3 linked regions of the Mus musculus genome follow. The protein of the gene in region 2 binds, or shares a complex with, the protein of the main gene of each other region. Links are inferred from orthologs where the notes say so. Each region holds a gene or a part of one and is shown on either strand. Other genes may lie near its edges.

Region 1 (3,748 bases), on a different chromosome or scaffold from region 2:
GAAGTACTGACTCAGCAGGGAAGGATGTCGGAGGGGCCGAGCAGGCACAGGTGAAGACGCCACATTAAAGTGATGGCCTTTAAACGACACCCGCCTCTGCGTTCATGTCCTTACTGATTACCATGTGCTAGACTAAGCTGGGTCACACTGAGTCACACTCAGCTCCGAGGAGACTGAGGACAGCTTGGGCCATGCAGTGAGAGTCCGTCTTCATGAAAAGAAATGAGGAAGGAAAAACCAGTTTAGTTTCCTAAGCAAATCTTTCTTGAGGTGGCTGCTGTAGAGGCAGCATTTGATTCACTCCAATAGGCCATCCTGTCTGCTCTGAGCCAGGTACACCTGTGTGGAGTCTAGCTGTTCTCATGCAGCTTAAAGCAGTCTGGAAAAGCAGGGTGGCACACACCTTTAATCCCAGCAGAGGCAGGTGGTTCTATGAGTTTGAAGCCGATTTGGTCTACAGAGGAAGTTCCAGGACAGCCTGGGCTACACAGAAAAACCCTGATTCAAGACAAAACGAATTCAAACTGGATAACCAGCACCATCCTTGTTTGGCCTCTGCTAGCAAAAATTAGAGCCAGGCAGTATGAAGATGTGTGGGTTCCTGTACTTACCCGAAAGTTCTTATTATCTATAAAGGAGGCTAATAAAACTGAAGGGTAGGTCATGGTGTCCAGCCACTTGAGAGGCTGAGGAGGAAGGCTAACAAATTCAGGGGCAGCTTAGGCAATTTAGATCTTCAACATTCAAAAGAGTGGGGATGTAGTTCTATAGAACTCCTGCATACCATGTGCAAAAGGCCTTGGGTTTAATCCTCGGTGCTGGATGAAAGAAAAAAAAATTGTGAGGGTTAAGTGAGAAGTCATAAAACACTTAACCCTTTATAGAAGAAACTCCAGAATCTTCCTGGTTTCTTTGCCACACTGACCACGAATCCATTTCACTGGGAAGAGTTTATATCATTTTTTAGAAAGACATATCAAAGGTGAGAAGGTCAGTACAGGTTTGATAAAAACCTATCAAACTTTTATAGTCACAAGTTTGACTTCCCCTAAATGGTACCCGGAAGCCTCTTCCAGCAGACTTCCCACCAAAAGGTATTTATAGCAATAAAAGTGATTGAAATTGAAACGTTTGGTACAGCGTCCATTATTAAAACGCTGCTCAAGAATGTGCCCCTAGTGGTACAGCTATGGTAAGTCCCACCATTCATACAGGTGTTCTTCCTTACTCTGGCGCTGATGCTGCCAGGGTAGGATCATGTTACATCGGCCTGTGGCTTCTCAGCTGAGACAGCGTGGGCTGCAGGCTGTTGCACCGATTCGTCGTCTCAGGAAAAGCACAGCCAGCCCGAGATGCACGCACTCTCCCCTGGAGCCTCTTAAGGCTCAAGTCTTTAAGTCCAGCAGTTCAAAAAGTCCCCGTCCTAAAGCTTCCGCTTCTGGCTCCACCCCTACCGTTTCGCGTTGAAGAATTTTGTCCCCCACGCCGAGCTGTTGCCCCGCCCTCGCCGCTGCCATGGCGGCAGCTCCGCCACTCACCAAAGCTGAGTATCTGAAGCGTTACTTGTCTGGGACAGATGCTGGCTTGGAAGGAGGTCCCGAGGCCGGTCGCAAGCGGCGCAAAAAACGGCCGAAGCCTGGAGGCGCTGGCGGCAAGGGGTGAGTGGACTGGTGAGGTGTCGCGCTGCCCGGTGGCGCCCTCGGCCGCAGCTCTTCCTCGTCCTGGCCCGCGCGGTGCTGCCGACCCCGGCCCGAGCTCAGGCCCCGCTCCACTGCCCCGGGGCGGGATTGTAGCTGCCACTGGCAGCTCAGACCTCATCCTCTGAGCAGCGCCTTCCTTGTGTTAAAGGCAGCTAGAACTTAACTCACTTTCTCCCCGCGTTTGTAGCTTACGTCGTTCCATGTACAGATTGAAAGTCGTGTCCAAGAATAGCAAAGCTGATTCAAACCTTTTTCTTTCTCACTTTATTTCTCTCTTTCTCCCTTCCCTTCTCTTTCTTTCCTTCTTCTTTTTCTCTTCCCTCTTCTTTCTTTCTTTCTTTCTTTCTTTCTTTCTTTCTAGATCCAAAAATCTCTTTCTGAGGGTTCCAAAGTGCCAGGAACTGATCTGGAATCAAAGACCCATATCCTATTACTCACATCTACTACTAACAGTAACAACTAAAATGGGAACAGTTCACATCCTGTGCCTGGCCTCTTTCTAAAATAGTTGACCATATAGCTTTCAGAACATTGTAATGGAGCAGACATTTATATTAAACACTATACTTCCAGATTGCAAAGAGATGTGCTGAGACAGAGTTCAGATGAAATGTCCATTAGTAACTTGGCCACTGGAATCTGGAAAGGTTGGGTTAGGATATCCAACATCAACCTACAGAACAAAAGGAAATGTCTGTATTTGTAGGCTTTAGAGCAGCAGCCCTAAGTTTAGCAGCTTACTGAAGGTGCTATTTTGGATAGAAAGTTGAAACTCTGGGGGCTAATTCCATTCTCACACTCCACCCCCAGGTCTACTAAATGCTTATCAGCTTAAAGAGAGTACTAGATAGGATACAAAGTGTGGCTCACCCTCTCTGTGGGGCAGTATCATGGTCTAACAGTATTATTACCGTATGGTCCATTGAACTGGGTCGAATTAGTCCCTCATTTCCACACTTCTCTTCATTAGAGCTTGAGCATGACCTCATTTATAGATGGAATCTTTGTGGTGTTACCAGTTAAGATGAGCCTATATTCAGTTAAGGTGGTGTTGAATTCAGTGTGGCTGATGTCCCTGGAAGAAGGGGCAATGGCATGCAGGGGGAAAGTTTAAGCTTTGGAGCAATACTGATTAGAATTAGAATCCTAGCTGTGCTACTTATAGCCTGAGTGGTCCAGGGCAAGAGATGTTCATCTCAGCCGGGCGTGGTGGCACACGCCTTTAATCCCAGCACTCGGGAGGCAGAGGCAGGCGGATTTCTGAGTTTGAGGCCAGCCTGGTCTACAAAGTGAGTTCCAGGACAGCCAGGGCTACACAGAGAAACCCTGTCTCAAAAAACCAAAAAAAAAAAAAAAAAAAAGAGAGAGATGTTCATCTCTCTGAGCCTGAAGTCCCAGCCCCTTACTACTTGTCTGAAATGGTTGTTGTGATTAAAGCTGTGTCATGTGTTCCTGGCATTTCAAATAACCTCCTCCTTGCAGCACAGTTCATCTGTGTGGCACACATTTATTTATTGGCTTGCCACCACCTTACAGTAATTGGGGCACTGGTTCCTGAAGCTCAAAATGATACACTATTTTCATGTCAACTATTCACATCCTCTTTAAATCATCCTTAGATTAATTACTTAAAAGCCCACTACAGCTTAGGTAGTATGCCAGTAGTTACGTTATATAGGCCATTGTAACTAAAGAAAGTCTATCTGTTTAATACATTGGCCATTCCTTTTCCCCTGGTTGAGTTTGCAGTTGTGAAGTCCATGGGTGTGGAGGGCTGAATACCTCCTGTGACAGTTGTGTTGAAGAAGCCTTGATGAACAAAAAATGTATTAGTCAGCAGGATATGGTGGTAAAAGTCTATAATCCCAGCACAGGGGAGGCTGGGCTGGAGGATAGAGAGCTGGAAGCTAGCTATAGGGAACAACAACAAGAAGAAGGGAATAAATAAGAGAATGCCTTAGCCCTTGGCTGTTGGAACTTAGAATTTAATGAGAATATGGGCTGATAAATACAAATGAAAGCATTCTAAGAGTGTGTAGAGGTATTTC
Region 2 (3,748 bases):
GGGCAATACGAATTAGTCTTCAAAGGTTAAAAAACAAAAAGACACACAGTTGGGTGAATAGGGAGTGGGGTAGATCTGGGGAAAGCTGGAGGAATGGCTATGATTAAGACGCAAAACTTTCAAAGAAGGAATTAAAAAACAAACAAACAAAATGCTTGATAAAAAGGAGTATTGATGGACAAAGGCTCGAGGGGGAGGATGAACAGGAGGTACCCTGAGGATGTTGACAGTTCCAGGCCAGCCTGGTCTACAGAGTGAGTTCCCGGACAACCAGGGAATCAGGACTACACCGAGAAACCCTGTCTCCAAAACAAAACAAAAAATCTTGCCGTTGTCCTAAATCTCAAGACTGTTACAAAAGTAAACTCTAACAGTTTCTTGTAACTGACACGGGGTGGGGATGGATCGTAGAAAGTCCTTTGAGGGTGGGGAAAGAGTAGGAAAAGCTCACCTTCCCAATTTTGCTGTCAATTCCAAAATTTTTATTTTAAAAAATTATCTTAACTATATGCTAAATCACTGTTTTTAATGTACTTCAGATATTATACGTACTAACATCTAGCGAGTATTTTACAGAGACAGATTTTTTTCTTTAATCTTAAGGAAATAGATACTTTTATCCTTTTATAGCTAAGGATATTAAGGATAAGAGAATTGAGATAATACAAATTTACATGCCGGGCGTGGTGGCGCACGCCTTTAATCCCAGCACTTGGGAGGCAGAGGCAGGCGGATTTCTGAGTTCGAGGCCAGCCTGGTCTACAGAGTGAGTTCCAGGACAGCCAGGGCTATACAGAGAAACCCTGTCTCGGAAAATAAAAAAAAAAAAAAAAAAAAAAAAATTTACAGACTAAAAATTTGATCAGTTTCTGTAGGTGCTTTGCTACTGACTAATTTCCACCTTTCTCTAACATCTTGTTTCAAAAATACCTCTTCTGATTTTTTTTTTAAAAAAATCCACATTTCAAGATTATTAACTTGGTCCAATCGCGGGGAAGCCTAAGGCGAGGGGGCGGGAACTCGAAAGACTACAAATCCCAGAATGCACCGCTGCCCAGGCTGCTTGCAGGGTTTCCTCGGTGCTTTTCCCTTCTCCCCGGAGTTTCTACACCTGAAATGGATTTCTACGCCCCTCAAAGGTGCCACGGCCTACAGCTGCACGCATCCCGGAGATAGACCTGGATGAGCCCTCGCCGCCAGAGCCCTATATCCCTGCGGCGCAGCCCGCCCTACCCACCTCACCCGCAGCTCCAGCAAGCCGCAAGTCTCCACAGAGGACGCGCACACAGTTGCTAAGGAAACGACGCGGCGTTTCCCCTGACTGGTGAGGCGGTCAAAGGTCGTCTTCGCAAGTTCCGGTTCCGGTTCCGGTATCTAGTTTGTTGTGGCTGACTCTGTTGTGCCGGCCGGTTCGAAGTGCTTTTCTCAAGTCCGGTTGTCGGCCAGGATCGCTCGAGTTCCACGGCTGCAGTCATGGCAGCCTCCACGGCGGCCGGGAAACAGCGCATTCCTAAAGTGGCCAAGGTAGGCGACCGGGAGGAGCCCCCGAACAGCATCTGCGGTGTCGGGCACCAGAGATTCGAGACAGCGATCTCTGTGCCGCGGTCCAAGAAGACAGGTGGTCGGTGAGGTGGCGCAGGGTCTTGTCACTCCGAGCTCGTCTCGCGTCTGCCCAGCCTTCCTTCCAGGGTTGCAAAGCATCGGTTCGGTTCGGTAAACTGTTTGCTTTGCTAGTCTCTGGGGATCCCCTACTTTTACTCCGGGCAAGAGTGCTCCACTAAAACTGGAGAGAGAGCGAAATGGCAACCCAGATAGATGTATCCAAGTAGTGTAGATATGCCATGGGCAAGAGCCAGAAGGGTGCCTGTAAACTTGAGGGTAAACTTTGTGAAGGAAGTTAACACTTAGGCTGCATCAAAGTTAGGCAGTGAAGAGAATGGCAGAGGATAGGCTCTGGGCAATGGCATAAAATTTAGGTTAGATAGTAAATTGTTATATTTCCAACTGTGGTTGATACTTCATCAATACTTAATAAGTGTCAAATCTTGCACTTAGCCATCACATACAGTCATTCTCTGGAAGTCTGATTTGGCCATTTTGTCTTGAGACAAGTTCTTATTTCCACATGTAATTATTGTAAAAGTCTGATGTGGTAGCTTCCCCCCTACCCCCGCTCCCAAACCCCTATCCTGAGTCATAAAAGCCAGGGAATGCATGCTGACTAAGTTTTTGACAGCTTGACACAAGATAAAGTTATCTAGGAGGAGGCATCTGGACTAAGAAAATTCGTCCCTAAGCTTGCTTGCTGGCAAGTGTGTGAGGCATTTTCTTGATTACCAATTGATGTGGACGCCCCCCCCCCCCCCGCCTACTTGGGCAGTGCCACACCTGGGCAGGGGCTCTGGTGTAGTCTGTGAGAGCAGACTGAGCACAGCTGGTATGCCTCCAGCTTCCTGCCGTGTCTTCCATTCATGAAGACTGTGGTCCAGTTGTGTAAGCCAATCAGTCAGCTCTTTCCTCTGCAGGTTGCTTTTGTTGGTGATGTTCGATCACAGCAGTAAAAAGGCCAATTAGAACTTAGGGTCCATCTGCACTTGAACACATTTGACTTTTAAGCTCCTGTGTTGGAACTATAGCTTCAGGTGCTCTAAAAGCTTACAGGCTAATGATGGAGACTTAGTAAAAACAAGTTTCAGTTGGCCTAAAATGTCATGGAAAACCAGCTTGTCCACTAGAAGGATTAAAATATGTAGAGGAGTTCTCTAAGCAGGTTATAAAGAGGAAGGAGTGTGATTTTTTTTTCCCCCTGCCCCTCATGGAGAATTGAAGATGTTATTCAAAGATGGCATCTTGGGCACATTCTTAGGAGGGCTTTTTCTTTCGAGACAGGGTTTCTCTGTGTAGCCCTGGCTGTCCTGGAACTCACTCTGTAGACCAGCCTGGCCTTGAACTCAGAAATCCACCTGGTTCTGCCTCCCAAGTGCTGGGATTAAAGGTGTGTGCCACCACCCTGCCATTCTTAGGAAGTTTATGTCCTGGAAAATATACAAGGGTTTTAAAATCTCGTGTGGAGAGCACTACCCAAAATAGGAATGTCTCTTTGTCTTAAAAGGTGAAGAACAAGGCGCCGGCCGAAGTGCAGATAACGGCCGAGCAGCTCCTCCGAGAAGCTAAAGAGAGAGAACTCGAGCTCCTCCCACCTCCACCTCAGCAGAAGATCACAGATGAGGAAGAATTAAACGATTACAAACTCCGGAAAAGGAAGGTGAGTCCGTCAGAATGCACTGTGCAACCTGTCCCAGTTGCTGCCCACAGTGGGAACGAGCTCCCAGAGAGCCTATGTGATGGGACCTCAGGCGAATATTGGGAATTATTTAATCCACGAATATTATGGAAGTTATATGGGAAGTTCTATAAATTACTGAGCACTTGAAGGTAATCTTGAAAGGTGTTTTAACATTCTTGTTCTTAAAAGGAATGAGAGTAGAATATATTAAAGTACTCGTTAATTATTACAGAGAACAGCAAAATCTTGCAATAGCTACCCCTACATTTTTCTTGTCTCCATAAACTTTAGAGAAACACCTGTCACTGATACCCTTCTGGAGGAAAGCTGCTGTTCCTTGGCATCTAGGATATAATTTCTTTTAGGAAGAGTAAAACGAGAAGTGTATATCATAAGGAAAAGCAAAGTCGTTTTCTCTTTACTGTACTGCTCCCCGCCCCCCTTTGCCTTTCAGACTTTTGA
Region 3 (3,748 bases), on a different chromosome or scaffold from region 2:
TGGTCTACACAGTGAGTTTCAGAGCGAAACTGTGCCTCAAAAAGAAAAAAAGAAAAAGAAAAAAACTAATTAACTCTGAGGGGAAAGGCTAGGGTCATAAATTACCAAATTAATCTTATCATTGAGTCTTCATACCCAAAGTCCTATAAAGCACATGATTTCCAGCACAAGACTCAGATTTCATAAACACTGACTTCAATACACTGTTACTGCCCCCCACGTGCAAACTAGGATGTATCAAGGAAAGTGCTAAGCGGTTCACAGGAAGCCTTTCACATGTTCCTCAATGTTCTCCTTCATATGCAAAAAGGGGACGTTAACATATTTGCCTCACAGGAGTATTATGGAAATAAACTAAAATGAGGCATATAAAGTGCTTAACACAATCCCTTCAAAAGGCAAACTGCGGGATTTTGGTTGTGACATAAAGAGAATACACGAAAGGTAATATTGTCCCCAGAGACTCAAGAGTTCCCCTTTTACAAAGGCTCTCAGTCTCTAATCTTGGTAAAATAATTCTAAAACAGACTAAAGGGCAAGCTTGAGGTCCATTGTGTTAGCATTTGAGGGAGAGCTGATAGGGAGGCAAGGTGTAAGATTCGCCAGCTACCGGGAGGAGGAGGGAGGAGGGAGCTACAGAAGGGTTGGCAGCCATGCCTTCAGAATTAGGAGGTGGAGCAAGCAGGAGTGCACAAAAATGGGGACAGAGCAGTAGCCGCAAAGGGACAGGAAAACATTTAGATGTGAGATGAGAAAGCCCAGCGTGTTAGGGGCAAGCAGGCTCAGGATTTCCGCCAGCACCCAGAGAACAGAAAGAAAGGGAGAGGTGGGGCTCAGCGAGGCCTCAGAGCAGCAGGTAGACTTAGGGCGGACATCAGCACCACCTGCACTGGGGATCATTTCCCTCCCGTGTCCCTAGCGTGTCTGGCGGTGACTGAGCTTTCCTGACAGGTGTCTACTGGCCAGATGACTTAAAGCTCTGTTGGATTATGTCTGAAGGAAGGGGCACACTAGTATGTAACATGTAGGTTTCCTGAAAATGTCCTGGTATCTACCCAGGGCCAGGGGTGTACTCCAGACTCTATTCTTTTCATCAGAAGTAGCTTTCCCTGATCCTGTCACATTTTCAGGTGGCCTTTCAAATGTTCAGCCGGAGTAAAGCTAATTTTGAATCAAGCCTTAATGTCTTCAAATCCAGCTAATGTCTGACCAGGTACATCACGGTACAGCTAAGGACTAGGAGCAGAAGCCCAGGAGAGGAGAAAAATCATTGTGAGGAAGGGCAGACACACACACGATCGGTATGTGACCGTGACGAAGAGCACAAGCCCCACAGTTTTGAAGTGCTGCAGCATGTGACCTTAAGCAAGTCCAGTAACCTGTCTGCGCCTCCGTTTCTTTGACATCGTGATAGGTTGACTGTGGAATGAACTGTCTCTGAGCAGCCAAGTAGCAAGGTTTTGAATAGAATGAAAGGCAAATACCAATTCTAAGAAGCGCTGAAGGCAACTGAAAAGTGGACCTGTGAGCAGAGGAGCTTCCAGAGTGTGAGGTGATGAGCTTGTTCAGAAGCGATGACCAGGGGCACTAAATAACCGGGGGAGGGGGCATAGGGAGGAGAGGGGAAGGGGTGGAGAGAGGAGAGGAGAGGGATGAGGAGGGGAGGGGAGGGGAGAGGGATGGAGAGGGATGGGGAGGGGAGGGGAAGGGACGGGGCGGACTCTGAAAGGCACTGCTGGAGAAAAATGGGGACCTCACCAACAAAGATCCAGGCGCTGTGCTTGTATTCCGAGTGCCAAGACACCTTTTCCGCCACTCCAAGTTGAACCTCTCGCTCATTCAGTTCATTGATCAGCTTCACCTTAGTCAGAGGGCTGCGCGGGTGGCAGGCAAGCCGGTAAGTGCGATAAGTACTTTTCCTCCCAGCCCGCCCTCTCCCTACCGAGCTTCTCCCGCCCGGAGGCCCGGAGGGCGAGGACCGGTCCCCGCCCTTTCTGGGCGGCCATCCTCAAGCCACTCTCCCTTCCGCGGAGAACACTCCCGCCCCTATCCGCAGAGAAACAGAATCCTTACTTCATATTCGCATCTTCGCGCGGCTCGCTTCAGACGACAACAGCTTCCGGGTGAGGCTCCAAAGCGCTCCCGCGACCCGAACACCCAGCTCAGATTGGAGCACGGGGCCCGCGAGGCGGAACTTCCGCCGGAAGTTCCGGCCCGCTAAGCCCTGGCGCCTGCGCAGTAAGGTGAAGGTGCTTTCTCAGGCATTCGCTCCTGTGGAGGGACAGTTCCCAAGTCAGTCCCCGCCCCCTTTTTGATGGAGAGCGATGGGGGGACCCTGTGTTCCTCTGCCAGTCGGAATTAAATGCCCACGTATAAACAAGCAGGCAAAAATTAGCATTGTCAAACTAGTACCTATCAACTAAAGAGTTAGAGAACTTAAAGGTTGTGAATGAGAGACAATTTATGCACGTTATCTCTGTTAGATCTCAAACCCCAGGCTAAGGCTCACACCATTGGCTCCTCCCAGCACTCCTCACCCTGCCCCTACCCTAAACCTCTGCCTCCCAGGGGGCGGCTCACTTTCTGCCATTTGCATTTTTCATTCAATCTCTTGTTTGTTTCCTTGTGTAGCCTTAGCTGTCTTGGAACTCGCTCTGTAGACCAGGCTGACCGCCCAACAACCCCATGAAATACAGTTACCATCCCCATTTTACAGAGGAAAAAAACTGAGCTTCAAAAAAATTAGCTTGAAGGTCTAGAGAGGTGGCTCAGTGGTTAAGACCATTTGCTGATTTTTTTCCAGAGAACCTGCACCCAAAACAGGTGGCTCACAACTCCAACTTCAGAAGATCCTCCTCTGGCCTCTGTGGGCACTTGCACTCACATAATTTCTGTCTTCTTCAGATAGAAATTCAGTTTTTCCAGCATATTTCTTAAGTAGGTTATTTTTTTCCCAATATATGTTTTTGCTTCCTTTGTCAAAAATTAAATAGGAATAGCTTTGGCATTTTATTCTGGATTCTCTTATTCTATTTCATTGATATTAATGTCTACTTTTATAGCAATACCAGGCTGTCCTTATGACTATAGGTCTATAGTAAAATTTGAGGTCAGGTCCTATAATGCTATCAGCATTGTTCTTATTCCTTGGGATTTCTTTTCTACCTATTGTCTTTTGTAGTTCCATATCAATTCTTGTGTTATTTTTCTAAACCTGTGAAATACATCAGAATTTTGAAAGGTGTTGCATGAAATCTGCAAATTAATTTTGGAAGTATACCCATTTTCACAATATTTATTCTACCAATTCAGAAGCATGGAACTCTCTTTTTCCCCCTGAGACGTGGTCTCACTATAGAGCTTGTGACTCTCCTGGCATTCACTTTGTAGAGCGGGCTGGCCTGAAATTCACAGAGATCCACCTGTCTCTGCCTCCCAAATGTTGTGGTTAGAGGCAGTATGGAACTCTTAAGGTAAGAGACAACATGTAATATTCTCTTTTGAGGCTGATCAGAATATTACGTCTCCATCATTAGGGCCAGAGGTAGAACTCAGAATCCATTCTTTTAACAAGAGGAAGTAACTTTCTCTTAATGAGCTTTAACAAGGCTCTGATACCTCCACCTTTACATATGGCATTCTAAACCTTAAAGAAAGGAAAGATTATTCTAATGGAGGGGCCCATCCTCCAAACTTACTAATGTCTGTCTAGCTACCTAACAAAGAGAAAACATGATGACACATAATG

Evidence for each region. The genes of interacting proteins can lie anywhere in the genome.
Region 1: Crnkl1 (region 2) and Bud13 share a complex: the UniProt entries of both Homo sapiens proteins name them as parts of the minor spliceosome. The link is inferred for Mus musculus from reciprocal best matches to the Homo sapiens genes CRNKL1 and BUD13.
Region 3: Crnkl1 (region 2) and Rbmx2 share a complex: the UniProt entries of both Homo sapiens proteins name them as parts of the minor spliceosome. The link is inferred for Mus musculus from reciprocal best matches to the Homo sapiens genes CRNKL1 and RBMX2.

What each region holds. Positions count from the first base shown.
Region 1 is NC_000075.6:46,281,516-46,285,263, forward strand, and holds the start of Bud13 (BUD13 homolog), read left to right. Parts: upstream 1-1,496; 5' UTR 1,497-1,515; coding exon 1,516-1,658; intron 1,659-3,748. UniProt on the Homo sapiens protein: Involved in pre-mRNA splicing as component of the activated spliceosome. As a component of the minor spliceosome, involved in the splicing of U12-type introns in pre-mRNAs.
Region 2 is NC_000068.7:145,932,330-145,936,077, reverse strand, and holds the start of Crnkl1 (crooked neck-like protein 1), read left to right. Parts: upstream 1-1,377; 5' UTR 1,378-1,473; coding exon 1,474-1,524; intron 1,525-3,112; coding exon 3,113-3,265; intron 3,266-3,740; coding exon 3,741-3,748. UniProt on the Homo sapiens protein: Involved in pre-mRNA splicing process. As a component of the minor spliceosome, involved in the splicing of U12-type introns in pre-mRNAs.
Region 3 is NC_000086.7:48,693,446-48,697,193, reverse strand, and holds the start of Rbmx2 (RNA-binding motif protein, X-linked 2), read right to left. Parts: upstream 2,191-3,748; 5' UTR 2,079-2,190; coding exon 2,074-2,078; intron 1,875-2,073; coding exon 1,759-1,874; intron 1-1,758. UniProt on the Homo sapiens protein: Involved in pre-mRNA splicing as component of the activated spliceosome. As a component of the minor spliceosome, involved in the splicing of U12-type introns in pre-mRNAs.